Linked DNA regions of Oryctolagus cuniculus. The protein of the gene in region 1 interacts with the protein of each later gene in a pairwise test. Links are inferred from orthologs where the notes say so. Each region holds a gene or a part of one and is shown on either strand. Other genes may lie near its edges.

Region 1 (14,628 bases):
GGATGCATTATTCTAAGCAGCACAGCAATATGGCATACAGGCTTCCCTAGCCATAGTTAGGCATCCACAGTGCTCACCCCTATTGCTTTTGATTCTGTCCTAAATTGCATTTTTTTCTTAATTTTCCTAATTGTTCGTTGCAAGAGTATAAATACACAACTGATATTTGTATTACTGACCTTATATCCAGCAACCCTGCTCATCTCTGCTGTAATTATTATTTCTGTAGATACCTTAAGGTTTTTTTCTCTGCACATGCACTACAGATATAGTTTTTATTCTTTCTTCCCAATTTCACTTTTTATTTCTTTTTCTTGCCTAATTACCTTGTCTAGACCAATGTTGAATAGAAATTGTGAGGGTAGACGTCTTTGTCTTGTTCCTGATCTTGTAAAGCTGTCAGCCTTTCACATTAAAACATGACATTAGCTGTGGAGAGCAGATTTTTAAAGAACCTTTTAAGCTAAATTATTTGCCTTCTTTATTTTAAAAGGTATCTAGCAGATATAATGGCAGAGTACACTGGTTAGTTAGATATAGGCAAAGTCAAATTCTGCGAAAGAGGAAGTGTTTCATCTTGTTAATCATATTCCAGGAGTCTATCTGTCAGTCTGGGGAAATTAGGAAATAATTTCTGGAGGAAGTAGCTTAGACTTTAAAAATAAATAAATAGAGTTGATCTTGCAAAGGGGAAAAGTATGTTCTGTGATAGAAGTAGCAAGGCAAGGGAAGGCATGGCCTGTCTGAGAAGTGGGATACAGTTGCCCTCCTGTTACAGTAGGGGATATGTTTCAAGACTGCAAGTGGATGCCTGCAACTACAAGTGATACTGAACCCTATATACCTATGGTTTTTCCTATATGTACATACCTATGATAAAGTTTTATTTATAAATTAACAATAATAACACATAGTAAAATAGAATAATTATAGTGATATGCTATAATAAAGTTGCCAGCATCAATACTCTTGTGGCTTAGGTCATTATTAAGTATACTAAGGGTTATTTGAACACAAGAACTGTGAAACCATGACAATCGATCTGGTAACTAAGACTACTACTAAGTAACAGATAAGCTTGTCTGGTATGTGCTGTGGAAACAGAAGACAAAAGAATCATATCTTGGGCAGGACAGTGAAAGAGCATGAGATTTCATACACTTGCAAATTGTTTATCCATGGTTGACCATGGGTAACTGAAACCACCAAAAGCCAACTCACTATGGGGGCCGGGAGGGGCCTACTGCACTGTTTTCTTGAGAGTATTTTTCAAAAAAAATGATACTAATAATGATACTAGACAGGGGAACAGCTCTACATGGTGAAGGCTCCACTTTAGGCATATTTTCACATTTAAACTTTGCCCTGAGAAGCCTTTAGAAGTTTTTTTAAAAGGGAAATTTAAAAATAAAATGGAGAGGCTCTCATTCTTTGTCGAGATATCTACCTGGCCTGCCACATGTATTCTCTTCATTAAATTTTGCTTTCATGCTTACTGCTGATCTCTATGTCTCACATTTGAATTTCTTTTCTCGTGGGAACACAAGAACCTCTGTTCCACCTGTTTCTAGACATGGCTGTGCATGTGCAGAGAGAACCCAGTGCAGAGAATCATATCACTCAACCTAGACATATGCAAAAGAAAGAAAATACAAAAGTGTAACTGGTGGAACCAAGAAGCCAGAGCAACACTGGAACTTGGTATTCCAGAGCCCATTGAGGAGCAAAAGCTCCCTAAACACACAAATCCAGGCCTGAAGGGCCCTCTAACCATGTTGGCCCGATTCCAAGCTTCTCCAGTTGATAAGGGTAGGTAGGGAGGAAGAGGAACAAAGATGATTCCTAGATTTCTGTCCAGGACAAATGGGCAAATGATATTGTTCTTTCCTGATTTCAGGAATATGAGAGAAATGTTGGGAAAAGGTAATGAGTTTTGTTTTGAAGATACTGAGTTTGGGATGCCTGGAACATATCCAAGAGGGTATTTCTCATGATTAGTTAGATTTCCTTCTAGAGTACAAAATAAAGATCTAGGCTGGGTCTTTAGGTGGCAATAGGTATTATATGACCACTGAAACATGGCAGGAGATGAAATTCATTCATGCAATAAACATTTATTTACCAGTTAATAGCATACATTTTAGATGACATACAAAACTCATCTTGTTCTATTTAGCACCTCCAGAAGACACTTCTGTCTACTATCTTGAGTCTTCTCTGCCCATCATTCCCTTACCCTCTCTTCACCCACAACAATAATTTCATATACCTTACTAAAAAGGCAGTACAGTGGGCCGGCATTGTGGCACAGTAAGCTAAGCCCCTGCCTGCAGTGCTGGCATTCCCTATGGGGATGTTCGTGTCCCAGCTGTTCCCCTTCTGATCCAGCTCTCTGCTTATGGCCAGTAAAGCAGTGAAAGACAGTCCAAATGCTTGAGCCCCTGCACCCATGTGGGAGACCCTGAAGGAACTCTTAGCTCCTGGCTCCTAGCTCTGGCCGTTGTAGCCATTTGGGGAGTGAACCAGTGGATGGGGGATCTCTTTCTCTCTGTCTCCTTCTCTCTGTAACTCTACATCTCAAATAAATAAAATCTTTTTTTTTTTTTAAAGTAATAAACTAAGGTATTGTAAGAGTATTGGCTGGTGCTGTGGCATAGCAGGTTAAAGCCCAGGCCTGCAGTGTTGTCATCCCATATGGGCGCCGGTTCAAGTCCTGGCTGCTCCACTTCTGATCCAGCTCTCTGCTGTGGCCTGGGAAAGCAGTAGAAGATGGCCCAAATCCTTGGGCCCCTGCACCCATGTGGGAGACTCAGAAGCTCCTGGCTCCTGGCTTCAGATCAACTCAGTTCTGGCCCTTGCAGTCATTTGGGGAGTGAACCAGCAGATGGAGAACCTCCCTCGCTCTCGCTCTCGCTCTGGCTCTACCTCTGGCTCTGGCTCTCTCTGTAACTCTTTCAAATAAATAAAATAAATTTTTTTTAAAAAAAAGACTATTACCATTAATTTCTCATCCTTTACTTAGTCCTTAGATTATAACAAGGTTTCTTTTTGCAAAGATAACATTGTATTAGTAGCATGCTATTTGTTTTAATTGTAGTGTCTTGAAGACTTTTCTGCATGATCCTCTTGTGGAGTGGAGTAAACCAGTGAAAGGGCATTCCAAAGCATCACTGAACGAAACTGGGGAAGTCCTCAACGAAAAGGTCAGTAGAAATACGTCTAGCTTGATATGAGCTGACACTGTACGTCTCTACAAATGAGAACTGATTCTCAAACCTGTTGGTGATTATTAATTTCTCTGAAACCTAGTTGTATAGTTTGACAATATCTTACGTTTTATTGTCATTACTAATGTTAGCATTTAACCAGAGAACTTGCAACTAACGAGGCAGATTGGAGAAAAGTGAGCATAAATTACCCTCATTTATAGAGCAGTTTCAATATGATGCCAGTGTGCCAAAATCCATCTTGACAAATGTAATGACTCAGTCCTTATTAAAATTAGTTGAGGGTCCAGTGCTATGGCCTAATGGGTAAAAACCACCACCTGTAGCACCAGCATCCCATTTGGGTGCTGGTTTGTGTCCTGGCTATTCCATTTCTGATCCAGCTCCCCTGCTAATGTGCCTGGGAAAGCAGCAGCAGATGACCCAAGTCCTTGGACCCCTGCAGCAACACAGGAGACCCAGAAGAAGCTCCTGACTTCTAGCTTTGGCCTGGCTCAGTCCTGGCTGTTGTGGCCATTTGGGGAGTGAACCAGCAGATGGAAGATTCTCTCTCTCTGCCTCTCTCTAATTCAGCCTTTCAAATAAATAAATCTTTTATAAAATTCATTGAATCTTCAAGTTTACAGATAGTTGTTTTTATAAGTTAGAATAGATTGAGGACCTTTTTCCTAATAACATCTGATATGCTTTCTTTATAGACTTGTAGAATTCCAAATAGGTCACTTAGAACTCTATTTTCATTTACTAACATTGCCTAAATATTAGGCATTAGAACATTGTTGCTGTTATTATAGAATATCAATCAAATGTTTAGGTCTTAAACAGTTTCAAAGCAGATTTTTAAAAAGATTTATTTATTTATTTGAAAGGCAGATTAGAGAGAGAGAGAGAGAGAGAGAGATCACTTTCCCATCCCAAATGGCCACAACAGCTAGGGTTGGGCCAGCCCAAAGCCAGGAGCCAGGAACTTCATCCAGGTCCCCCATGGAGGTGGCAGGGGCTTTAGCACTCATAGGCCATCTTACTCTGCTTACCCAGGCACATTAGCAGGGAGCTCGATCAGAAGTGGAGTAGCTGGGACTCAAACCTGCACTCCTATGGAATGCTAGCATTGTAGGCCATGGCTCAACCTACTGTGCAACCATGCCAACCCCTCAAACCAGATTTATTTTAAGTTTTCAAGAAAGGCATTTGGTACAGTGGTTAACCCTGCATCTTGGGATGCCTGCTTTATATATCAGAGTGCCTGGGTTCAAGTTCCAGCCCCATCCTGCATTCCAGCTTCCTGCTAACATGCACCCTGAGAGGTAGCAGGTGATGGCCCAAGTAGTCGGGTGCCTGTTGCCCACATGGGAGACCTAAACTGAGTTCCAGCTCTTGGCTTCAGCCTAACCCAACCTTGGCTGTTAGAAGCAGTTGAGGAGTAAGACTAGGATGGGAATTCTCTCTCTCTCTTCCCATCCCTTCCTCTCTGCCTTTCAAATTAAAGTTTTAAAAATATTTCTCTAGAAATATAATGTTCAAAGAATTCCCTGCCATTTCATGTAATACAGAAACATGTCCAAGCCATTCATTTTGAATTAAGATTGACATCCTCAAAAATTCATATAAAAAATTTACTTTTTTCCACATCAGCCCCTATAAAAGAGGTATTGATCAGCAAAACAGTGTCAGCATTTATAAATATCAAGAAATTATCAACATCCTCATATACTGAATTCTTTTCTCTAATGATTTTCTGTTTCATCTTTTTAGGCTAAGACTCATGTTCTTGACATCGAGCAGCGATTACAGGGTGTAATCAAGACCCGAAATAGAGTGACAGGGCTGCCATTATCTATTGAAGGACATGTGCATTACCTTATCCAAGAGGCTACTGATGCGAACTTACTCTGCCAAATGTACCTTGGTTGGACCCCATATATGTGAAATGAAATTATTTCAAATGTTAAACCTGACTTTAATGCATTTGATATTCATCTGTGGCTGTATCCAATTCTAAAGTACCGCATGTTTCTTTGTCTTAGAGCAACTGGTATTACTTCTGCCCAATTGTGAATAGTATTTTAAATAATATATGTTGTTATTAAGAAATAAAACTTATTTCTTAACATGTGTATTTGATTACGTGGAGAAATGTGTCAAATGGATTTGCAAGAAACAGTCTAGCCTAATTTCGTTTCACAACTTTTATCAATTTCCCTTTAAAAGTACTAGTTAGCCCAGGAATTCATTTGAACAAAATCCTATCAAATACAGTGAGCACGGTACTGTGCTTGTAAGAGAACTATAAACAGGCTATCATTATGTTCACTTAAAACTCTGGTATGTTTTCCCTATGACACACAGGGGGAAAAAAATCTTAAGAAAACTAAAGAAACATTTTGTAATTTAAACGTGCTGCCTGCCGTGTCGTGGGCATAAAGAATGTACAAACCCGTGGTCATGGAAAACAGCTGTACTTAAAATTCTATGGAGTTTTAAAAATCACCTCAACCCCCCCAGCACGACTGGCCTTTCCCGAAACGCAGAAGGCTGACCTCGGAACTCCTCAGACCCTCGGCCGCGGCACAGCCGCTAGGAGCACTGTGACGCCACGGCGCCGGCGGCGGCCAGGGTAGGCGGGGCTGAGTCCCGCCCCGGGCCCGGCCTCGAATCCGGCCGCTCTAGGCCCGCCGGGCGCTCTCTATGGTCGCGCGGCCGGTGTGTTGTCATCGGCGGAGCGACGTCCGGAGGCGGCGGCGTAGGCCCCGGCGGGGCGTTTGGTTTCGGTTTGTCCCTGACTAGAATTAGTGTTGACGGTCGAAATGGGAGTCCCCAAATTTTACCGATGGATCTCGGAGCGGTATCCCTGCCTCAGCGAAGTGGTGAAGGAGCATCAGGTGGGTGAGCGATGCGCGGTAGCTCGGCAGGCTGAGCACTGGGGGCTGCGCGGCCCTCCCTCCGCTCCGAGACCCGGGGTTTCTAGCCTTTCGCTTGTTGTCGGCCCGACGAGTGGCGAAGGCAGCCCAAGAAGGTGTGAAGACCCCGGGATGATCTGAATTGGGGACAGACGCGCGGGGCTTCGGGCTGTTCTGACAGCTCTCCCGCCTCGGCGGGGCCTTCCGCGCCTTGGAGATGAAGTCCGGGGAGGGAACGATATTGATGGGGCTCCCCGCTCCTCCCCAGGGGGGCTTCAGGTCGCTGTTCCCTCTGTCGGGGCTGCGAAGCTGGTGTGGCCGTCCCCCCTTCCCACCTGAAGCCGCGGTGTCTACGAACAATAACAGCCGCCTCCGCGGTTGAATCACCTTGTTTACTTTTCCTTGCCGGGAGCTGCATCCCACCCCGCCTCCACGCCTGGACTTTTCCGACGTGCCCGAAGGGTCACGTTTATGATGCCGATTGTTACTCTTTCTGGTATCCCAAAGAAACACCAATTCCGCTGTTGCCAGAGCCGCACTTGGACGTGCGGCGGGCGTTATTTTGAGACTTTGGGGAGGAGAGAGGGGTTGTTTGAGCGTTGATCCTACTACGAATATTTGGCATGTATTGAAACCAGGGCAATGCAGATTCCAACAATGTAGTTTGTATTTTGCAACTGTGGGAAGAGAAGAGAAAGCAGTTGTCCGATAGATAAGCTAGACTTTGGATGAAACTTTAATGTCGGCCCCATTCGGTGAATTTGAGAGCTCTTTTTGTTTGTATTGTGTTTTACAAGGGAAAAAAAGCAGTTTCAAATGTATGTGGCTGATTGGGTTAGTTGTCATGAGTAGCGCTGTGTTAATAATAGGGGGAGGGAAGTAACTCCGTGAATGCCATCGTGCTGTAAAATAATGGTTTGATCTTTTGAAAATATTTGTAAACTTGGGGGAAGACTTAAACTTCTGCAAAGGATTGTTTGTTGTTGACTTCCAATCAGATTTGGTACATGAGAAAAGGCTTTCAAAAATACCAAAACACTGGCTTATGATTAATTTATTTGGAACAGTGCATTGAGTTAGATTTAGGAATGCATTTATTTCCTGAGAAGAGAGTTTTAAAAGGACACCAGTACACTGAAGACATACAACTTACTTTGACTTTTCCTGGATCCTTCCATCAAACATTTGAGTACCTGCCACACACACATCAGTCACTTTAGTTCTAAAGTGAACATGTAAGATGATTGCCAGAGTGACCTAATAATGCATGATTTGTTCAGCAATATTTTATTTACTTATTTATTTTAAATTTTATTTGAAGGAGAAGGCAGAGAGGAGATAAATCAAAAGATCTCCCACTCACTGGTTCAATTCCCAAATGCCTCCAACAGGCAAGGCTGGACCAGGCAAAAGCTGGGATCCAGGAACTCAATCTGGGGCTCCCATGTGTGTGACAGGGACCCAACTACTTGAGCCATCACCCGTTCCCTCCCAGGGCGCAGCATTTGCAGGATGCTGGAATGGGGAGGAGAGTTAGGACTGAAACCAGGCACTCGGATAAGGGATGCAGATGTCCCAAGAAGTGCTTTAACTACTGTGCCAAATGCCCACCCCTGCTCAGTACTATTTTTATTCAGCACTCTTTGGCACAGAGCTTGGTTTAATGAAAATATCTTGGATTCTCTCCATCCTGAGGACTTTTTTTGTTACTGAGGAACAAAAATAGTCTAAGACAGTTTATGACATGAGCACTAAGGGTAAGTTTTCTGAAAACTTTACTCTAGATAGAAACTGAGAGTAAAATTTTTTAATTCCACATTAAGTAAAATTGTTTTTAAATTCCACTTGAAGTAAGCTTTAAAACTTCATTCATCACAGTGATGTCTTTCAAAAGTGTTTGCTTAAAAGGGACAGAAGGGCTACCAGGCTACCCTCTGTCAAGCAGTGCTTATAGACAAGATGACCATGCTTAAGTAAGTCCCGGTGGTTCAAAGCTAGTCCTGGGTAGAAGGGATTGCGAGGGAGAGTGTTCCGTGAAATGGCAGTGGTGGCACAGCATCCTTTTCTTAGTCCTGATTCCTCAGGTAAAAACAGAAAGCGAAACTAGATAGCAATATTTAAGACCCATAAAACAATTCTAACAATCCACGGGGCATAGTATCCCCACACACCTCAAAATACAGCCAGGGAAGACAAACTCTCAACAACATAGGCACCGTTGACATCTGCAAGAAGAAGGAAGCTGGGGCTTCTTCTGGAGGACCGAGAACAGGAGAACTCCAGAATAGCCAAGAGGTTTTCACTAAAAGACTGCTGGCCAACTAGAGGGCAGTGCCTGAGTCCGAGGAGTTTTACTGACTAGTGAAAGGTCTACAGTAAGAAAGAGCAAAGGGCAGGAGCAGTGTATGTCCTGTGAACCTTTGAAACTAACTTGTCACAGTGCCATTCTAGAGCACATCCCACCCTCTGGAGAAGCGGCTTGGACTGGAATAAGATTTTTTCATGAAAGAAGCATTGGAGACAAAACAGATGATCCAGATAAAAATGAGGGAGGCTACAAAGTTAAGAGATCTTAGAAACCAACAAGCAAGCCATCAAGTTTTTATACTACCCAAAAACAGCAGAAAAGGGAGCTGGTGAAATTAAGGCTTTCCGGCCAGTGCCGTGGCTCACTTGGCTAATCCTCTGCCTGCGGCACCAGCACACTGGGTTCTAGTCCCGGTTGGGGTGCCGGATTCTGTCCCAGTTGCTCCTCTCCCAGTCCAGCTCTCTGCTCCACTGACTGGAAGGCAGTGGAGGATGGCCCAAGTGCTTGAGCCCTGCACCCGCATAGAAGACCAGGAGGAAGCACCTGGCTCCTGGCTTGGGATCAGCACAGCACCGGCTGCAGCGGCCATTTGGGGGGTGAACCAGCGGAAGGAAGACCTTTCTCTCTCTCTCTCTCACTGTCTAACTCTGCCTGTCAAAAAAAAAAAAAAAAAAAAAAAAAAAAAAAAGAGAGAGAGAGAGAGAAAAGAAAAGAAAAAGAAATTAAGACTTTCCTAAACCTTTGTTTATTCTAGAAGTTCAGTGGGGCCCAGCGCTGTGGCTGTGGCATAGCAGGTAAAGCCACTGCCTGCAGTACTGGCATCCCATATGGGTGCTGGGTCGAGACCTGGCTGCTCTGCTTCTGATCCAGCTCTTTGCTATGGCCTGGGAAAGCAGTAGAGGATGGCCCAAGTCCTTGGGCCCTTGCACTTACATGAGAAGACCCAGAGGAGGCTCCTGGCTCCTGGCTTCCGATTGGTGCAGCTCCGGTGGTTGTGGCCAATTGGGGAGTGAACCAGCAGATGGAAGACCTCTCTCTCTCTCTCTGCCTCTCCTTCTGTCTCTGTGTAACTCTTTCAAATAAATAAATAAATCTTTTAAAAAAAGAAAAGAAAAAAGTTCGAGAAAGTTAAGTTTTATAAAAATAAACAGAAAGGTATTAATATCAAATCATATACAAAATTATAAAAAGGAACAAAATAATATCCTAACAGATATTATAAGCTTATAATAAAACACACGGGGAAAACATTCAAAAACTGTAACCTATTTCTGAAAGAAAATGCACTAAGAAAAGGCATGAAAACACACACACACACACACACACATATATATATAAACTATGAAAACTTAGGAATGAGATGACATAACCTAAAGAAAATTTGAAGTAAATGGAAAAAATCATTTTAGAAATGAGGCCTTAAGTGAAAAAATAAAAAGCAAGAATAAATGATACAATGGGTGGGGGGAAGGGTAGAAAGAAAAGGACATTTTTAAAAAATTAAAAAGATAAAAAGCATTCAAGAAAAAGAACAAATAACAATAGGCAAAGAAGACAAATAATGCTACTAAAAAAAAAAAAGCCAAAGCAACATAAACACTAAAACTATAATTCAAACTTTCCTGAAATTTAAAAAACAAAAACAAAAAAACCTTGCATATTGAGAGAAATACTGTGTACCTGAGAATACTGATTCAGATGACCAAACCAAGACATATTCCGGAAAATTACTAGACTTTAAAGAAAAAGAAAAGGACTAGCGAATTCACCCAAGAGTCCCTTTATTAGGGACAGGTTTCCCCTAACAGTTGAAGAGAAGAGAAAAGACAAAGTGAAAATAGCTTTATAAATCTGAAACTTCTAACCACATTGTTTGATTTTGTTGAAGATTGGTGAATGGTTTTATCTTAGCATTGATAGTACCACCGCTGAAGAAGGAAGGAGAGAACAATTCTGTAGACATTTTGTTCAAATAATCATTTCTAGTTTAGCACCAGGTCATCCTTTATGTGTCTTCAGAACTTGGAGCTTACAGCTTATAAGGATCGGTGACGTTGTACAGCAGTTCCAGCTTCTGATGTAGTACTCTGGGTTTGTTCCAGAGCACCTTGCTTTACCAATAAAAGCCATTTACTCTCTTGTAGAAATGTGTGATTGTCCAGTACCTCCCATTCTCAGGCTTTGGTATGAAATCCTTTATTGTCATCGAGTCTTGGGAAAGAAGAGAAGCTGAATGCATCCATCATCTGTGTCCTTTACAAAATAAGTCATACAACTAAAACTATAAACTATTAGAGTATATGCACTTCTTTTTTACATTATATTTCAGCACAGTGCCAAAGCCAAAATTTGTTAAGCACTTGCCATGTTTCAGACACTGTTTTAAATGCTTTACATACATTGAGTTTTTAAACCACTAGTAAAGTAAATACTGGAACTGAATTTGAAATCAAGTTGAATTGCTCTAGCACTGTGGTTTATTATTGTTGTCATTATTATTACCCCTATTATTAACCCTCTTTAGGAATCTCTTTAGGCTTGTTTTTTTTTCCTAATCACTCCCACTGTTCCATAGAATTTTAATGTCACAGATGTACTGCATATCTGTTTATGTATGAACACCAATTTTGACACTTTGGGGAGTGATATTTTTAATAATTAATAATGTATGCTGTAGATCCTGCATTATTTTCTTCAGTATGATAAAATATCCATAACAGTTTTACAATCTTAATCATTTTCAAGTGTACAGTTTAGTGCATTCAGATTATTATACTATACCCATGCTTCTAAAACTAATCTTTAATGCATTATGCTAAAAGATGTTTCTTGCTTAGGAAAATCTAAAATTTCAAATTGTAGGGAACACATGCTGGCATCTCTATTTTAATGTATTTGCTGTTCTATAGAGGTCTTATCAGTCATATTGTTTATTGTGCTACTCTATTCACTGTATTTCTCAGCCCCCAACATGATGTGTGGCACATAATGAGTACTCAATAAATATTTACTGAGTGAATTTAACAACTGTAGCACATTATATAATATGTAAAGCATAACCCTTGGAAACTATATATTGAAATATGCATAGTATATTAGTAGGTTATAAAACTTCCTTTCTTGAAAATGAATTGAAGCAGCAAAATCTTGAGATTGCTTAAAATGAATAAGATTAAAGGACTGAAAGGAAAGTTGTTGACAGCTCCTTTAGTCAGCCAAAACAACATTGTTTGGCTTTATGTAACAAGAGTTTTGCAACAATACTAAGTAGGATACAAAGTTAGACTAACAAAAAGAAACTAATGTTTTTAAGATTAGATACTATGATATTAATACTTAACCACAATTTGAAGCAGTATAAATACATATTCCAAGGGATTGTGATAAGCTACATGTGATGTCACCTCCCATGAAGGGAAGCTTTATTTTTTATTGATTAAATATTTTTGATTTGCTGCTTTGTGTTTTGCAGTCTGCTAAGGAATCTTTTTTTTTTTTTTTTTGGATTTATTTTTTATTTATTTTAAAGACAGAGTTACAGAGAGAGGTAGAGACAGAGAGAGAGAGATCTCCATCCTTGGGTTCACTTGCCAGATGGCTGCAATGACCGGAGCTGCAGTGATCCAAAGCCAGGAGTCAGGAGTTTCTTCCGGGTCTCCCATGCGGTGCAGGGGCCTATGGACTTGGGCCATATCTACTGCTATCCCAGGCTATAGCAGAGAGCTGGATCAGAAGAGGAGCAGCCGGGACTAGAACCAGCATCCATATTGGTTGCTGGCGTTTCAGGCCAGGGCTTTAACCCACTGTGCCACAGCGCTGGCCCCTCGCTAAGGATTTTAAACAACAGACAATCCAGAGGCACTGGTTTGTTTTGAGGAGCTCATAGTTCAGTAGTGGAGAACTGTTACATGCGTTAAGCATCTGATTAACTGTATTGAGTGCCTGTATTACCATCTGATTAACTATACTGAGTACTGGTAATGTGCCAAGCATTCTTTTACATATTGGAAACCCAAAAATAAGATTTTGCTCTTAAGATGCAAATCTGAGGACAGATTTGAAAAGCAGGATAGCAAAAGTATTCAGTGAATGCCTAATTGCCTTATTAAGTAAAGTGCGAGAGGCACATATGAGATACTGCTAAATAGAGTGTGGTCTCTTGGATGAGTAAAGGAAAGCTTCCAGCCAAAAAGCTTGAGCTGGATGTTGAAAGATGAGTCAAAATCCTGAAAGCCAGTGGGAGAAAGAGCAGGAGAAAAGAGCATTTTAGTAAGTAGGAAAAACATCTGTGAAATCAGGTTTGAAATAGCCCAGGACATTCAAGGCCGTCCGAGTACTTTACTGTAGTCATTTTTTAAAGTGTACGTGGAAACAGGAAAGAACATGGGATTGGTGGAAAAAGATAGCTGTCAAATCATGCAGGATCTTTTATAGTATTAAGATTTGTATTTTCCTATATAATTCAAGTAAGGAAGTGACATGATTAGATTATGTGTTAGGGAAATGGCTGAGCTGTGATGAGAGAGAAAACTGGGAGCAAGCTAGTCCAGTGCAGGAAATCTGGGAAAAACAAAAATATGAGATTTCCTAAGACAGTGAGAATGGGTAAGATGGTGAAATTCTGAAAACATTTTGGGCATTAATTTTAAAATCATAGGAAAGCACTGGGTGACTAATAGAGTTGCACAGGGAAAGAGTGTAAAGTAATTTTGAAATTTCTTAACTTGCAGATATAATAGCTCTGGGAAAAGAAACTACATTATCAGTATTACTCTTTTGTGAAAGAGCAAAATTTGGCATGTTCTTTCTTCACTGCAGTGGCTAACGATGACTTATTCTGTTTCTTGCTTACTAATCTGAAATCCAAGAGAATATGTATAGTTCTTTTCTAGAAAGAACATTTTAGTATTTTATTTTCAGAATTTTAGGTAATATGTGCTCATTATAAACAAATTCAAATACAGAAAAATGTAAAAGTTATAGTATAGAGATTGAAAATGAAAAGCAATTTTTAGAAATTCCAACATCCAGGTTATCTACTAGTAAGATCTTGTTTCTATATACTTCCTAACTTTTCTGTGTTGTTGAACATATAAATATGTTCTGTAAGTAGGACAAATAATGTACTTACTGTTTTATACCCTAGGTTGTCACTTGACCATAGCTCCTATCTTCCATATATGTATCTATGACATAATTTGTAATTGCTGTGCAATATTGCATTGTATGGATATACAATGATCACTTTCAGACATTTGGATTGTTTTCACCCTTTATCTTTTCTGAGCAATACTGCTATGAGTATTTTTATACACTTGTATCTTTGTAAGTTAATCATTTCTGATTATTTTTCAGGATAAATTTTTTTTTTATTTTTTTATTTTTTTGACAGGCAGAGTGGACAGTGAGAGAGAGAGACAGAGAGAGAAAGGTCTTCCTTTGCCGTTGGTTCACCCTCCAATGGCCGCCGCTGCAGCCGGCGCACTGCGCTGATCCGATGGCAGGAGCCAGGATCCAGGTGCTTTTTCCTGGTCTCCCATGGGGTGCAGGGCCCAAGCACCTGGGCCATCCTCCACTGCACTCCCTGGCCATAGCAGAGAGCTGGCCTGGAAGAGGGGCAACCGGGACAGAATCCGGCGCCCCGACCGGGACTAGAACCCGGTGTGCCGGCGCCGCAAGGTGGAGGATTAGCCTATTGAGCCACGGCGCCGGCAGGATAAATTTTTAGTAGTTGAAATCCTGGTTTAATCATATACATGTTCCAGGGGTTTTTTTTGTTTTTCGTTTGTTTGTTTGTTTGTTTGTTTTTGGTTTTGGTTTTGGTTTTTGGTTTTTTTTTTTTTTTTTGACAGGCAGAGTGGACAGTGAGAGAGAGAGACAGAGAGAAAGGTCTTCCTTTTGTCGTTGGTTCACCCCCGCCAATGGCCACTGCAACTGGCAGGCTGCGGCCAGCACACCGTGCTGATCCGAAGCCAAGAGCCAGGTGCTTCTCCTGGTCTCCCATGCGGGTGCAGGGCCCAAGCACTTGGGCCATCCTCCACTGCGCTCCTGGGCCACAGAAGGGAGCTGGCCTGGAAGAGGAGCGACCGGGACAGGATCTGGCGCCCCGACTGGGACTAGAACCCCGTGTGCCGGCGTTACAGGAGGAAGATTAGCCCATTGAGCCGCGGCGCCGGCCGGTGTTCCAGATCTT
Region 2 (14,667 bases), on another chromosome or scaffold:
GGCGGCTCCTGGCTCCCTCTGTCCACTTGGGCTTCTCTCCCTGGCTCAGGGTGGACTTTGGACCGTGCCTGCCCAGGACCTCTGGGTTCCAGGGCCATCTTCCCACCTGGCCTGGGTGTGGTGCCATGGCTGGGCCCCTCCCCCCATGCCTCCTGGACTGCCCACTTGGGAGGTGGTCTCCTTTCCTTTTCCTACTGGTGCTGTGTCTCCTCTGTTAACGCATCTGTCACCTCTCTGTCCCTGTGCTCTGCGTCTCCGTGTCTCTTACCTCTCTGCCCCTGTTGCCATCTTTAGCCCCTTGCTCACTCCTGGTACCCGATGGCCATGAGGGCAACCAAACCCCCTTGGTTTCCTGGCTCAGAGGACAGGGACTGCATTCCCAGTGACCCCCAGCACCTTCCCATGGCAGCCCCGCCCGCAGGCCCCTGGCCCAGGAAAGGAGAAGTGGAGGTGGGAAGTGGGCCCTGACCTCAGCAAGCCTGACTGGGGAGCAGCTCGAGCCCCCACCCATCCCCAGACCCTGCGTCAGCAGAACGCAGACGAGGGCATTGTGCAATCCGTGGGGAGGCTTGGCCCAGCTGGACGCCTGGGTCCCTATATTTTTAGCCCCAAAGGAGAAGTGAAAAGGCCCCAACACTGGTGAATCATCAGTCCTGGGAAGAACCCAGCTCCGGGAAGCAGGCCGTGGGCAGGGGGCTTCGGGAAGGGAGGGCCGCACGAGGCTCCCCACTTCCCGCAGGGCTTCTTCGGGGAGCTCAGCTGTGGCCTTCAGGCCTGGGCAAGCACAGGGAGAGCTTCCAGCCCAGGCCCAGCTGCCGGGCTATGAAAGGCTCAAGTGACTCAGCCTGGCTGGAGAACTGCCCCACCCTGGGTCCCGTGTGGTGGCTTCTTGCCCCGGACCCCGTGGCCACAAGGAAGCCTGGGACCCTGGAGCCCGAGGCCCCACACTGAGAAGTGGCCAGGGTGTGTGTGTTTGTGTGCATCCCACGCTTGAAGTGCCAGGGTGGAGGGCTGGCAGCAGGAAGGCAGGCGGGAGGCCCTGTGCACCGAGGGCAGCCCTTCACCAGCCCCTCGGATGATCTAGGACCACCCCCGTACCTGGTGCCAGCTGGTGACGGGGTTTCATACAGCCACGAAGTGCCTGCACAGCAACACCTAGAGCTTGATCACATAAGTGGACTGCAGCCCAGCCCCTGCCAGCGGGGCACCCAGATAAACATGGCAGGGGAGTCCTGCCTTGCCAACACCCCCTCACCCCTGCAGCAGAGCCCACCAGCGTCCCAGCTGGGGCCCAGGCCACACTGGCCATGGGCGCACACGCGAGAGGATGGAGGTAGAGCTGGCTCCAGAAAGTAGTGTCACAACAGCAACACACACGGTGGGGACGTGGTGTCCCAGCACCCAGCGTACAGAAACCAGCAGACTTAAAGCTGCTCCAGGGCGGGGTCCGAGGTGCCCCATCCCGTGTCAGAGTGCCTGCTTTCAGGTCCCAGCTCCGTTTCCGATTCCAGCTTCCTGCTTAACAGCCCTCTGGGGGCTGCAGGTGTTGGCCCAAGTATTTGGGTCTCTGCCAGACTGAGTTCTGGGCTCTGGCTTCTGCCTGGTCCAGCCCAGCTGTGTGGACACTTGGGGAGTGAACCAGCAGACAGAAACACCGCCCATCCCCCTCTCTGATCCTCCCTCTCTCTGTGTCACTCTGCCTTTCCAATAAACAACTAGGTTTAAAAAAACACACAAAACCACAAAAAAAAAAAAAAAAAAAGAAAGAAACTGTAGGCCATGGGTTGATGGATGCACACTAGCAGGCACCATGGGGTGCACCAGGAAGTGGTGGTCACTCACGCCGCACATCTGTGTGCAGGCCAAGCCCTGGTCCTGGAGCCCATGCCCTCGTGAGCTGAAGTGGGATGACAGCACAGCATAGCACACTGCGAGGAGTCCCCAGACAAAGGCAGAGCAGTGAGGTCAGACGAGAGTGGTGATGACAAGACAAGGCCCTGAGGAATAAATCCAAACAAGTGCAACATTTGCACATGGAGAAGAAAGTTCGGTTTATTGAAAAGTATTAAAAGTTGGAGAAGCCAGGGGTGGGCTTCAGGCCTAATGGTTAAGCAGCCAGCTGGGGGACTGCCTAGTCCTGTGCCTGCCTCTGGCTCCGGCTCCAGCTTCCTGCTAATGCAGACCCCACCAGGAAGTGGCGATGGCTCAGGTCCCTGGGTTCCTGCCACCACCCCCCAGGCCTGGATTGAGCCCTCAGGTTCAGCCCAGGCATTTGGGCAGTGACAGCTGGGGGGAGGCGGGGTGTCAAAAAACTTTTTTCATAAAAACAGTTTGAGAATTTCGTTGGGTAGTAAGTTTCATGAGCACTCATGGCCTCCAAATACGATTTGTTAAAAAAAATGACAAGTTTTCTTTTAATATGGATTTTTCTAATCTTTCACAGAGGTCAAGGAAGCCTCAGTGTCGGGTGATCTTACAGCAGCTTTGAAGGAGAGGAGTAAGTGCTGTGGCCACCCAGGGTCAGTACAAAGGCCCTGAGGCAGGAGTGGGAGGAGGGAAAGGAGTGGGGCTTTGGTGAGCACAGGGGATGCAGAGCCGCCCTTGGGCTCCAGCAGACCAGCAGAACCTGTCATCCGCCACCATGCTGCTCCTAGGGACCCCATCCCATTGAGTCCCACAAACAGGGAACAAGCCTACCATGCGAATCCACAAACAGCCCTGTAACCACCACTTAGCCCGCTATCTCTCACCCATCGCAGACTTTGCCCATCACTGGCTGACTCAGCCCTGCTGTCGGCCAAACATCTGCAGCAGACTCATCAGCGGGCACAGATAAGGCCGGTGCACACTCCCGGCCTCTCAGGTGCAAGTGTGCGTCGGCTCTGCCCTCGGAGGCGGAACTCAAACAGCCACACGGAGGGGGGTCACGCCAGCCACCCTCCACATCACGCGCAGCTCACGTCAGAAACCAAAGTTCACCGGCTCCACTGCCTTGTGACTGGGCCACACAGACGCGGGCCCGCCGCCTTCTCGGGCGCATGCGGGCTCCCAGACGCAAGCAACGACACAGACACGCACGTGAACACCAATCACACACCCGAGGGCTCCGGCTGCCACCGCCAGCCTCAGAGCTGCTGCGTGCAGCCCCTCGGCCTCCCCCCGGGCCAGGCACCTGCCCGCGGTCACACACGCTGAGTCACTCCGGATCCGTCCGTGGTCACAGCTGCACACGGATGTGCAGGTGGGCACGGAAGCCAGCGTCCTCCCCACGGCCGCCGCAGCCACAGCAGCAGGGCACTTACTGAGTCCTCCCCACACACCCATTCCCCGGGACGCCTAAGGCACACGCGGCACGGCCGATCACCCGGGGAAACCCTGCACACCCCTGCCCGGGCACCCCGCACATCACGCCCCCAGGGGCCTGCTTCCACGCTCCACACGCCGGCCGGCCGGCCCTCGCCCAGACCACGCCGCCAGGCGCGCACACGTGCCGCGCGAGTACACGGCCCCCGGCTCGCCCGTGCGCTCGCACCGGCTCTCACACCCCCGCGTTTCCCGTCCCCGCTTGTTTTTCTGGAAACTCTGCTCTCCGTTCCCCTCCCCCCCACGGGCCGGAAGTGCTCGCTGTATTTTTAGCTTCTCTGGTTTCCGCCCCCTTCTCCCTGCCCCCCTCCGCGGCCCGCAGCGGGCGCGCACCCCTGCAGCAGGCGCGCACGCCCCGCGGGGACCCAGGCCGCCCCCTTCCCACCGTCATTCCACAGGGGATTCCCGGCCGCTGCTGGAGCCGCGGATTTTCCCGCTGGCTACGTGGGGCGTGGGGAGGAGTCCCGCCGTGAACTTCCTTCTAGTCTGAGACGCTGAGGCCCGGGGTGGGGGGGCGACCTTGACTCCGGGCCCTGAGGGAGGCGGGGCAGGAGCGTGAACTCCCGGGTCTGAGAGGAGGGTGGGGGCCTGGACCCCGGGGTCTGAGGGAGGAGGGCTGGGGCCTGGACCCCGGGGTCTGAGGGAGGAGGGCTGGGCCTGGACCCCGGGGTCTGAGGGAGGAGGGCTGGGCCTGGACCCCTGGGTGTGAGGGAGGGGCTGGGTCAGGACCCCGGGGTCTGAGGGAGGAGGGCTGGGTCAGGACCCCTGGGTCTGAGGGAGGAGGGGCTGGGCCTAGACCCAGGGTATGAGGGAGGAGGGCTGGGCCTGGACCCCGGGGTCTGAGGGAGGAGGGGCTGGGCCTAGACCCCGGGTCTGAGGGAGGAGGGCTGGGCCTGGACCCCTGGGTCTGAGGGAGGAGGGGCTGGGCCTGGAATAACTAGCAAGCTGAGGCGGAGGCCTCGCTGCGTGAGTCCACGGGGTTTGAGTCGGTCCTTTCGCGCACCAACGCCGGCCCCCAGACTCCTCAAGAGGGGTCGGGTCCCCACCGTCCAGCGCTGAGGCCCATGACTCAGCAGTTGAGAGAGGGGAGGGGGCCAGACTGACTCAAGGATGGGAAATGTTCCCTGTCTCCAAGGAATCGAAACTGGAATCCCTCCTCCAGGATCGCGGCCAGAGCCCAGCCCGGCCCCGAGGACCCCGGGGCGCAGCGCCCCCCACCTCGCGCGGGCACACGCACCGCAGCCGCGCGGGACTGGGCGCCAGCGTGGAGGCAGGAGCCTCGGGTCCCCTGTCCTCCACCCCCGCCCCAGTCCTGGGGCTGTGTTTACAGGAGATGGGAGCCCTGGTTACGAGAGGAACCCGGGCGTCCGGGCTGAGCCTCCTCGTCACGGCTTCCAGGAAGCCCCCCTCCCCCGCCCCTCGCGGGTGAGTCACGGGCGAGCGGGAGGCTGCGACCGTGCCAGAGCTGCCCGCGGCCCGCCCCGCTCACGGGACCGGCCGAGGAAGGCCCCTTGGCCCCAGAGAGCGCCGCAACAGGGATTCCCCGCCGCGCCGGGGCCGCTAGAATCTCCCCGCCTCGGCACGGGCCCGCGGCCCCCAACAGTGAACTTTGCGCCATTGTGACCGCCGTGGCGAGGACTTCCTACCCCGTGTTTTCACCGGGCAGCAAGCTCACCGAGACCCCCTTGGGGAGGGGGAGGGGGAGGGAAAGTAAACCAGCACCCCCTACCCCCCCCAGATCTTAGCCGAGAGTTCTCACTGCGGGCCGCGCTTTGATTATGAAAGACTCGCCAACATGGCGAAGCAGCCCGGGCAACCGAGGCTTCTCCCCGGGCACCCCTGGCGGTCGCAGCCCGGCCGGCCCGCACCTGGGGACAACCCACTTCTTGCGTTTCAAAACAGCGCTCGGGCGAGGCGGTCTTCCCCAGGAGCGAGGGCCCGCCCACCTGTCCCATCTTGGGCGCCGTCCGGCAGAGGCCCCGCGGCCGGGCGGCTGCTGCTCCCGGGCTGGGGGCCTGCGAGGGTGACCTGACGTGGGTGTCCGGCAGTGTGAGCGCGTGGAAAGCGGAGACAGCCCTGAGTGCCCCCGCGGGTGTCTGCGACCCCACCCCCTCTCGATGACGGCGGCTCCCAGGCCTGGGTCTCCGGTTTGGGAGCGAGGCGGAGCTGCCCCAGCAGGTGTCAGAGAAGGGAATGCCCTATCAGGCAGAATGGTTTCCCTCCCTGCACTTGGCCAGAGTGGACTTTGGGCCTGGGGGGGGGGGTGTTGTTTCTTTGTTAATTCTTCCTCTTGGGGGTTCTTTGCGACCCCCCCCCTCGCTCGCACCGCTCCCGCCTCAGAACTTCTCTGGGGGGGTCGTCTCCTCCCTCGGTGTAGAATCTCTGCCTGTGTCTCTCCACCTCTGGTGTCTCTCCCTGCGCCTCCCTCCATCTCACCCTCTCTCAGCACGGCTCTGCGTGTCTCTCCCTTTCTCTCAGCGTTATGCCTTCCTGTCTCTGTGTCCCTGCGACTCCCTGTGTACGTCTGTTTCCCATGTTCCCCCCCCCACCCCCACACACACCCCGGGTCTCTTCCTCCCTGTCTCTCCCTTTCCAGCTACCTGCCGGCCTCTGGCTCGCTGTGTGAGCCCGTCCCTCCCTCTGCTTCTCGTCGGTTTTTTCTCTCCTCTGCCCACCCCCCGCGCCGTCAGCCGCGCAGGCCCTCTCGGCCTCTGCCCTTGTCAGTTGCTCCGGCAGCCCTGCCCCCACCCGTGTCCCAGTTCCATTCTCCGGCCTCCGTCTCTAGCCTTGAAACCTGGGCAGGCAGACGCCCTTCCCGCCCCGCGCCCCACCCCACGCACTCCCCTCCGGGCCGCCCCGCCGCGCGCAGGCCCCGTCCTGGCCGGCAGCCGGGCGGAAGGGGACTAGCCCAGGGCCCGTCGGGCTGCGCCGGGGGCGCGCGTCCGGGAAGCGCCCCTCCTGGCCCCGCCCCGCCCTGGGCCCGCCCCTCTCGACCACGCCCCCACTGCCCTATAAGAAGGTGTCTGTCGCGGGTAGCCGCAGCCTGGTTTCAGCGCTCCGACTTTGGGCCGATCCCTCAGGGCCAAACGCGCCGCCATGGATCTCACAGCCATCTACGAGGTGAGTCCCCTCCGGACTCCCCAGCGCCGGGACGCTAGCCTCCCTGCCAAGCTGGGGGGGGGGGCTCTTCTGCGCTACACCCTCCGACCCCGGCCCCCGGCTGCCTTTTCCGGACCGACCTGATTATCGGGGGGCGGGGGTGGGGGGTGGGAAGTAAAAATGGAGCCCCCGCCTGCCGGCTCTCGGCCCGGCCGGCACTTGGGTGGGGGCCCCGTGGAGTGGCCGCTGGGAAACTTTGCTCAGACCAGGGCTGGTCGGAGGCGGAAACGGCGCCGCACCTGGCTCACCCCTCGTAGTCGCCGAGGGCGCGGTGCCGCGCGGAGGCGTTTTTGGGGCTGAGTCTCGGGGCGGGGAAGCCGACTTCTGCCTCTGACGCCTCGACCCGCCTTCTCCGGGAACTCAAACCCCAAAGACCAGACTCCCGAGTTGGCTCTGCCAGGCTCCTCCCGTTGTGAAACTGGAGAACTAACCCGCTGCGCTCCTCATATCCGGGAAGGCCCAGCGGCTCCAAGTTGGGGACCTGACTTTAGGGTCCCCTGTTGATCCTCCCGGGAAGCTGGGATTCCTCCTCCAGCCGTGGCTCAACGCAGAGCCCCTGAACCGGGATCGCCGCTGGGTTCCGGAAATCCCGGTTGCCGTGGGCGGGTGGGGCTCCGGCCGGGAGCCCACAAACCGGCCTGGCAAGGTCTTGAAGTGCCCTGCAGCTGGGGCGCGCCTCGCCCTGCGTCTGCGGGTGTCCTAACCCGATCCCTGTTCCCACAGAGCCTCGTGTCGCTGCACCCTGACCCCCCATCCGACCACGGAGGGACGGATCCTTCGGGACTCTGGGGCCCGGCTGGGATCACCTCTCGCCTGCCGGGCCGCTCCACCAGCCTGGTAGAGGGCCGCAGCTGCGGCTGGGTGCCGCCACCCCCTGGCTTCGCACCCCTGGCTCCCCGCCCGGGCCCGGAGCTGGCGCCCTCGCCCACCTCGCCCACGGCGACCCCCACCACCTCCTCCCGCTACAAGACTGAGCTGTGTCGGACCTTCTCGGAGAGTGGACGCTGCCGCTACGGCGCCAAATGCCAGTTTGCCCATGGCCTGGGCGAGCTGCGCCAAGCCAATCGCCACCCCAAGTACAAGACTGAACTCTGCCACAAGTTCTACCTCCAGGGCCGCTGTCCCTACGGCTCCCGCTGCCACTTCATCCACAACCCCAGCGAGGACCTGGCCGCCCCCGGCCACCCCCACGTGCTGCGCCAGAGCGTGAGCTTCTCCGGCCTGCCCTCCGGCCGCAGGACATCGCCTCCGCCGCCGGGCCTCGCAGGCCCCTCCCTGTCCTCCTGCTCCTTCTCGCCACCCAGCTCCCCGCCCCCACCGGGGGACGCTCCGCTTTCACCCTCGGCCTTCTCTGCCGCCCCTGGGACCCCCGTGGCTCGAAGGGACCCCACGCCCGCCTGCTGCCCCTCCTGCCGCCGGGCCAACCCTGTCAGCATCTGGGGGCCCTTGGGTGGCCTGGCCCGGAGCCCCTCGGCGCACTCCCTGGGCTCAGACCCGGATGAGTACGCCAGCAGCGGCAGCAGCCTGGGGGGGTCCGACTCTCCTGTCTTCGAGACGGGAGCTTTCGGGCCACCCCAGCCGCCTGCAGCCCCCAGGCGCCTCCCCATCTTCAACCGCATCTCCGTGTCTGAGTGACGGAGATCCGTTGGATAGAGGGGCGCCGCGGTGTGCCGTGGGTTCCGCTGGGCCCAGGGCCTGTGGGGAAGGGATCCTAATTCATTCAAGTGGGTCCCTCCCTCCCCCGCATTCCAAAATGCATTAACTTCACCCCTGACCCCACGCTGGGGCAGGTCCCCGGTGTGCAAGCTCAGTGTTCACGGTGTTGGGGGACAGAGTGCTCTCTGGGGTTCTTTGAAGATGTAGCATACTGGAGGGAGACAGTGAGCCCCGTCCCCCCCGACCTGCACCCCGTCTGAATCTCCTGGAATCTCATGTGCTGTGAATAGTAGCCCCCTGCGCGCCCCCTCCCACTTCTTCCTGAGGTCCCAGCGTCTGGTGGTGAGTGGAGCCTCCCCGAGGGAGACTCCTGGTGCTCAAATTTCCCTCCACAAGCAAGCAAAGCCGTTGCCAAACCCCTCCCCCAACCGACGGGCCCTTTATTTATGACGACTTTATTTATTCTAATAAGGTTTTATAGTATTTATATATATTGAGTCGTCTGCTTCCTTTGTATTTTTTCCTCCTCTTTTTTGTAATATTGGAAACTGGTATAATTATTAAGTATGCTATAATAATATATTAAGTAATATATATTGTTACCTTAAAAGTCTATTTTTGTGTTTTAGAATTTTTAAATAAAAGGAACCGGCGTGTAAACTGGAACCCTGGCCTTTGTGCTGTCCGGGGCGGGGAGGGGGCGAGAGCCCAGCCGCCCTGCGGCGCTTACCTGGCAGGAAGTGACGTCACCAGGCCCGCCGTTCACCTGAGAGGGCGGGGCCAGGTGAGGTCACGGGGGGGAGCCGGGCGAGCCGGTTCCCGAGGCGTCTGGGGACGCTGCACTCGCGTCCTGCCGGGCTGCTAGGCCCGAGCGGGCGGGGACGGGACATTTCCGTCCCCACGGGGCCGGGGCGGCGAGAGGACGGAATGTGCCGGCGCCAGGCGCGGGGCGGGCGGGGACGGCCCGTGGAGTCTGGGGTCTGCTGGGCTCGGAGTGCGGGGGAGGGGGCGCTCCCGTCTCAAGACCCGAGAACCTCGGGACCCCTGAGATCTGGGCCCTGCTCTCTGAGAACCGGAGGCCTCGGCCGTCCCGGTCCCGAGGTATTTCCGGGCCTTGCGAGTCGCGGCCTCGGCTCCGGCTGGGGTCGAGCTCCGAGGCCTGCGCGTGCGGGCGGGGCCCGAGCGGCGGCGGCCTCGGACCATACAAGGCAAGAGGCGTCGGGCGCCTCCGCCGGCCGGGGGGAGGGGGCGCCCCGCGCCCGGAAGCCGCCCGGCCCCGCGTCAGCGCCCCGCCCCGCCCCTCCCCACGCCTCCCAGGCCCCCGCCGCCCCTCGGCCCCTGCTCCCCGGCTCCCCTCCGTCCCCTCCCCCTTTGTTCGCCTCCCTCCTCTTCCTCTGCGCCTTCTCCCCAGGCCGCCTCGATCCTCCCCACCGGCACCCGCTGACCTTTGGACTCCTCGTCCAGGAAACGGCCTGGCTCCCTTGTGGGAAGGAGCCCCTGTCCCGGCCTAGGAGAAGGGAAGTGGCCCCTCGGCGGCGGGCAGCGCAGAGCCGGTCGCAGAGAACAAAGGAGACCGCACGGCTCTCCGCCTCTTCTCCCGAAAAGCCCACACCCAAGAGGCCGCCCGCAACGCCTGCTGCCCGTGCTCTGACCAAGTGCCTGGGAGTCCCTAGACACCCCAGCTCGCGGCCACTACGGCGCTTGGCCACCCCCCACCAGCCGGTCAAAGGAAGCCGGTGTGGCACCTGAATCGCACAGAAGTCCTGAGCGCTGGATGGCCACGACTCAGGGTTGGCCATCTCCTAGCCTGCCCCTCACTTCACCGACACATGGGACCCGCCTGGACCCAGGGCTTCCGCACTGGCTGCCCCTGTGCCGAGCGCAGACCCTGCTGTCCTCGTGGCTCGCCCCCTCCTCCAGGTCTTTGCACAAACGTGGCCTTTTCGGTGACCTCCTCCCTAGGATGTCAAGTTCACTGCTGTTACCACCTGCATCTAAGCGGAGTCAGGCACACACTGAATGTTCAGGCGTTGGAAGAAGTCGAGAGGAAAAGACAAGTTGAATAAGGGAGAAAGAGGAAGAGCCCTACCGCACAGTGTGCGGAGGACCCACAAGTGTCAAACTGAGATTTGCAGACTCGAATCTGCTGCACAGGGCATCTAATCAAGAGGTGACACCACCCCCTGGTGGCCAGTACGGAAACAGCACCTCCTCCCCACTCTGTGCCCAGAACTCTTCGGCGGACTGTCACCAAGTCCCACGCGAGTTTCCAGCCCGAAAATTCTGGAGATGGAAATGTTCGTTTCTGTAAGTGATGTAGATGTTCGGGTTGGTTTATGAGATATATAAGTTTATGAAAACTGGCGGGGAAACTAAAAGTGCTCCAGGTGAGGATCGAACTCACAACCTCGGCATTGCTCCGCCTGCACTGTCATATAAGTACCGCGCGCTAACCGATTGCGCCACTGGAGCTCCGGCCGCACCCTTGCGCCGCGGAGTCCTTCAGTCGTTCATGACCACGTGACCTGGCTGGACAACTCCGCCTAGCATTGCATGTGCAAATAGAAACCGTCTGGCTGTCCAATAGGAGAGAGTACGTGCCCAGTCACGAATTCTCACGCCTCGGAGGCCCTCGCTGTAAAAGGAAATAGTCCGCGGGGCTCCTGGAATGTGGGCGTGTAGCCTGCCTGGGGACGCGCCTCCTCATGAATATTCAGCTGCTGGGAAGGCGGGGTCTTAACCCTTCGCTGGCGGGCCGGCCGGAAGGCGGCCCCTCCCCCCCGCGGGCGGGAACAGGATATGCGCCCGGGCGGCGGGGGGAGGGGAAGCCCGGGGCGACCGCCCCCCGCCCCACAGCTGGGTCCGGACTCTCCCGCCCCAGATGTGGCGCCGCCACCGCCGTGGGATCCCCCTTGCCATCCAGCCAGGAGCCTGAGGCGCCCCGAGTCCTGAACCCAGGCATCCGGAATTTCTGCACCGCGTCCGTAGAGACCTCGGAATCCAGGTGCCCGGCACCCGGACTAGAAGCTCTCAGGTATCCAGCGCCCCCACCTGGGGGAGCCGGCGGCCCGCGACATCAGTCCCCCGAGGGACCCTGGAGACCGAGCGTCCCGCAGCCCTGTTTGGAGGACTCGGGACCCGGAACTACAGACTCCCTCCAGCAGTCCCCAGGAGCCCGCGCCCAGGACCTCTGGGTTGGAGGAACTTGGGGTCGGGCCCTCCAGAGCCCCAGCGCGGCACTTTGGGGCTGCAGCATCCACCACTTCGAGGGGACTCTGGAAGTTGGAAGCCCTACGCTCCCGCCACTAGTGTGAGGGGAACTCGGGAGTCCCGCACGGCCCCACGCGGAAGACCCAGGGTCCCCATCCGAGACTCAAGAGTCGAGGCTCCCGGCCCCCCAACTCAGGACACCGAGAACTTGGGCCCGCCGGCACCCACTGCGCGGGAGACCCCGGATTCTGGTGGCTGAAGCCCGAGAGCCCCCCCCGGGGCAGCGCGCTGGGGTCGGGCCGGACCCGGGCAGCCTCGGCCCCGGGGAGGTGAGCGGGAGGCGCGGGCCCCGCGGTGGGGGAGGGGCGGCGCCGCGGAACAATGAGGGGGGCGTGCCGGCGGGGGGCGCCGCGGCACCGGCCGGGGGCGTCCAGGGCTCCGGGCCAGCGCCCCGGCGGCGCGCGGCCCTCGGCGGGGGAGGGAGCCGTCTGCGGGACCCTGGCATCCGGTCCCCCAGCCTCCGCCCTCCCCTGGGACCCCCCGGCCTCCCGCCTACAGCTTTTCCCAGCCCTGCCCCTCGCCCTGCGCTCCAGGCCGAGCCCGAGCGTTCCCAGGATCCCGGAGCCGCCGGCCGCAGCCTCTACGGCGCTTTGGCTCCCTTCTTTGTCTCCGCTCCCCCATCTCGTTCCGCGGCTTCTCCTCCCTCCCCGGCCCCCTCTCGGCTGTCACTTCGCCTGTGTCTCCTCCGGCAATCGCTCCCGGGGGCTGCTGCTCGTCCCAGCCTCCACCACCCAGCTAGAGCTTGGGCGGCAGAGGCGCCTGCGGGATCCCGTGTCCCACATCCCGGGGGGTCTTTCTGCAGGTCGCTGCTGAGCCGCTCGCTCAGCCATGCCCGAGGGAGCCCGGGGACCGAGCCCGCCCAAACCCAGCCTCCGCCTCGGGTGTGGCCGCAGCGAGGAGGTGTGTGCCTGCGCAGCTGAGTGTGAGACTCGGACAGGTGAGCCTGCAGCCGGGGGCGGAGCCAGGGGGCCTTCGCTCCCGCGTTTGAGACGCTGGGCCGTGCACGGGGCATCCCTGGCGCACAGGGAGGAGAGCAGGCGACAGGTGGTCAGGGCTGTGATGGGGAAAGGTCTGGGGGCTCCGGGAGAGCTTCCTGGAGGCGGGGACATCCAAGCTGAAGAGGCAGAGATGAAGAGGACGCGGAGTTGGGCAGAGACAAAAAGGAAAAGCAGTCCACGCGCAGGGAACAGTACACGCAGAGGCTCGGAGGTGAGACCAGGCTGCGAGCTGCGGCGCCAGGAGGTTCAGTGCGGTGGGCTGTGCAGGCTGCGGGACCCCGCGGCGGCGCGGCGCGAGCTGGCTGCAGAGTCTGCCGTGGCCACACTGCAGGTCCAGGAGTCTGGCCTGTGCCCTCAGGGCACGGACGGGGTCGTGCTCCAGAGTGACAGGGCCAGATGGGCAAGTTAATGAAGGTCAGTCAGCTTGGCTGGGGCTCGGGGGACAAGAGGGCTCCAGACAGAACTGGACCAAGGCGGGGCCGGGGGAGGGAAGGAGAGGAGGGAGCTTGGGAAAGCTGCAGGCCGGGTGGGGGTGCGTGGGGGCTGTAGGAAGGGGTGTTGGCGGAGATGCCCTGACACCCTGCTCTGCACCCCTGCAGCCCCCGCCATGGCTTCCCCCAGAGGGTCTGGGAGCTCCACATCCCTGAGCACTGTGGGCTCTGAGGGGGACCCAGCACTGGGGCCCCCTCCGGCCTGTCCAGCCTCCAGGCCTGAGCCCCCGCCAGGGCCCCCCATCCGCCTGGATCTGTCGCCTGTGGGGCTCCCAGCGTCAGTGAAACCCTCGAGGTTGGAGCGTGTGGCCCGCGAGATCGTGGAGACAGAGCGGGCCTACGTCCGGGACCTTCGCAGCATCGTGGAGGTGAGGCGGGCAGCCGAGGGTGTGGGGGTCCGGGGTCTCCCTGCCCCTCTCCCGTAACCTCAGCCGCCCCCCACAGGACTACCTGGGCCCTCTGCTGGACGGTGGGGTCCTGGGGCTGAGCGTGGAGCAGCTGGGCACGCTGTTTGCCAACATCGAGGACATCTACGAGTTCAGCAGGTCAGGGGCAGAGGGGCAGGCAGGGCAGTGGCTGGGGCGAGTGCTGGGAGGCTGGGCTGTGTCCTGAGCCACACCTTGGGCTGGACGGGGCGAGGCCTGGGGGGCAGCAGGGCCCAGATGAGGTTCGAGCATCAGGCATTGCGCAGGCGTCAGGCTGGGGCTCAGCGCTGTGCCAGGCCTGGGCTCCCGATGAATCCCGGAGTCTTGTGGGTCCTGTGGTTGCGAGTCTGTGTGGCTGGCTTGTCCTTGTTTGCCAGGGGCAGTACTGAGAGTTCCTTGTCCCGGGCAGCCCAGGATGGTCAGTCACCCTAGTGAGGAGACTGCTGGGCCCCAGGGCCAGGCCCTCTGAGCATCCCACAGGATCTTGGCGCCTTCAGTGCTCTGGAGGTCAACAGCACCCCTTCCCCCCATGCTGCCCCTTCCTTGTCATGACACGGTGCCCCCATCAGAGGACCCCTCCTTGGGACACGGCACCCCCTCGAGAGAGCCTGGCAGCCCCCTAGCCCCTCGGCCCAGCTAGCCGTTGGGATGTCAGCCTCCCGGAGTCCCCCACAGAGGGTCGTGGGGGTGGGGCAGCTCCTCAGACCTCCCCTCCCCCCGCAGCGAGCTCCTGGAGGACCTGGAGGGCAGCAGCAGTGCAGGAGGTATCGCCCAGTGCTTTGTGCAGAGGGTGAGTGCAGGTGCAGGGAGCCCTCCTGGGGTGGGATTCGGGCAGGGGGAGAGCAGGCGTGGGCTAGGCTGGAGGGGAGCCACAGGAAGCCGGGGGCCGGGGTCTCCCTGACGCCCGTGTCCCCCGCAGAGCGAGGACTTTGACATCTACACGTTGTACTGCATGAACTACCCGAGGTGAGGGGCACGGAGCCCCTGCTGAGCCCCAGGCTGTGGCCATGAGCTGCTGTGCGGGCCAGCCTCCAGCCCCTGCCCCCCGGCCCACCCAGCTCCAGCCCCTGCCACGCCGTGACCTCTCCCTAGCTGCCCCTGTCCCCGCCCCGACTGCTCCTGAACCTTGGCCGTGCCCTGAGCCCTCCCAGCCCTGCCTGTCAGTCGGAGCCGGCAGCCCCCGCTGACCTGTGTGCTGTGCCCCCAGCTCCCTGGCCCTGCTCCGGGAGCTGGCGCTGTCTCCGCCAGCAGCCCTGTGGCTGCAGGAGCGCCAGGCCCAGCTCCGCCACTCGCTGCCCCTGCAGA

The links.
Region 2: the proteins of XRN1 (region 1) and ZFP36 interact in a two-hybrid assay, tested with the Homo sapiens proteins (2 studies listed by BioGRID). The link is inferred for Oryctolagus cuniculus from reciprocal best matches to the Homo sapiens genes XRN1 and ZFP36.

The regions. Positions count from the first base shown.
Region 1 is NC_091435.1:139,435,324-139,449,951, forward strand, and holds the start of XRN1 (5'-3' exoribonuclease 1), read left to right. Parts: upstream 1-5,883; 5' UTR 5,884-6,034; coding exon 6,035-6,109; intron 6,110-14,628. Other genes in the region: serine/threonine-protein kinase ATR, read left to right, coding at 3,098-3,203, 4,983-5,156. UniProt on the Homo sapiens protein: Major 5'-3' exoribonuclease involved in mRNA decay. Required for the 5'-3'-processing of the G4 tetraplex-containing DNA and RNA substrates. The kinetic of hydrolysis is faster for G4 RNA tetraplex than for G4 DNA tetraplex and monomeric RNA tetraplex.
Region 2 is NC_091449.1:15,537,999-15,552,665, reverse strand, and holds ZFP36 (mRNA decay activator protein ZFP36), read left to right. Parts: upstream 1-6,323; 5' UTR 6,324-6,459; coding exon 6,460-6,483; intron 6,484-7,245; coding exon 7,246-8,157; 3' UTR 8,158-8,844; downstream 8,845-14,667. Other genes in the region: PLEKHG2 (pleckstrin homology domain-containing family G member 2), read left to right, coding at 12,277-12,385, 13,046-13,305, 13,382-13,482, 14,086-14,152, 14,282-14,328, 14,570-14,667. UniProt on the Homo sapiens protein: Zinc-finger RNA-binding protein that destabilizes several cytoplasmic AU-rich element (ARE)-containing mRNA transcripts by promoting their poly(A) tail removal or deadenylation, and hence provide a mechanism for attenuating protein synthesis.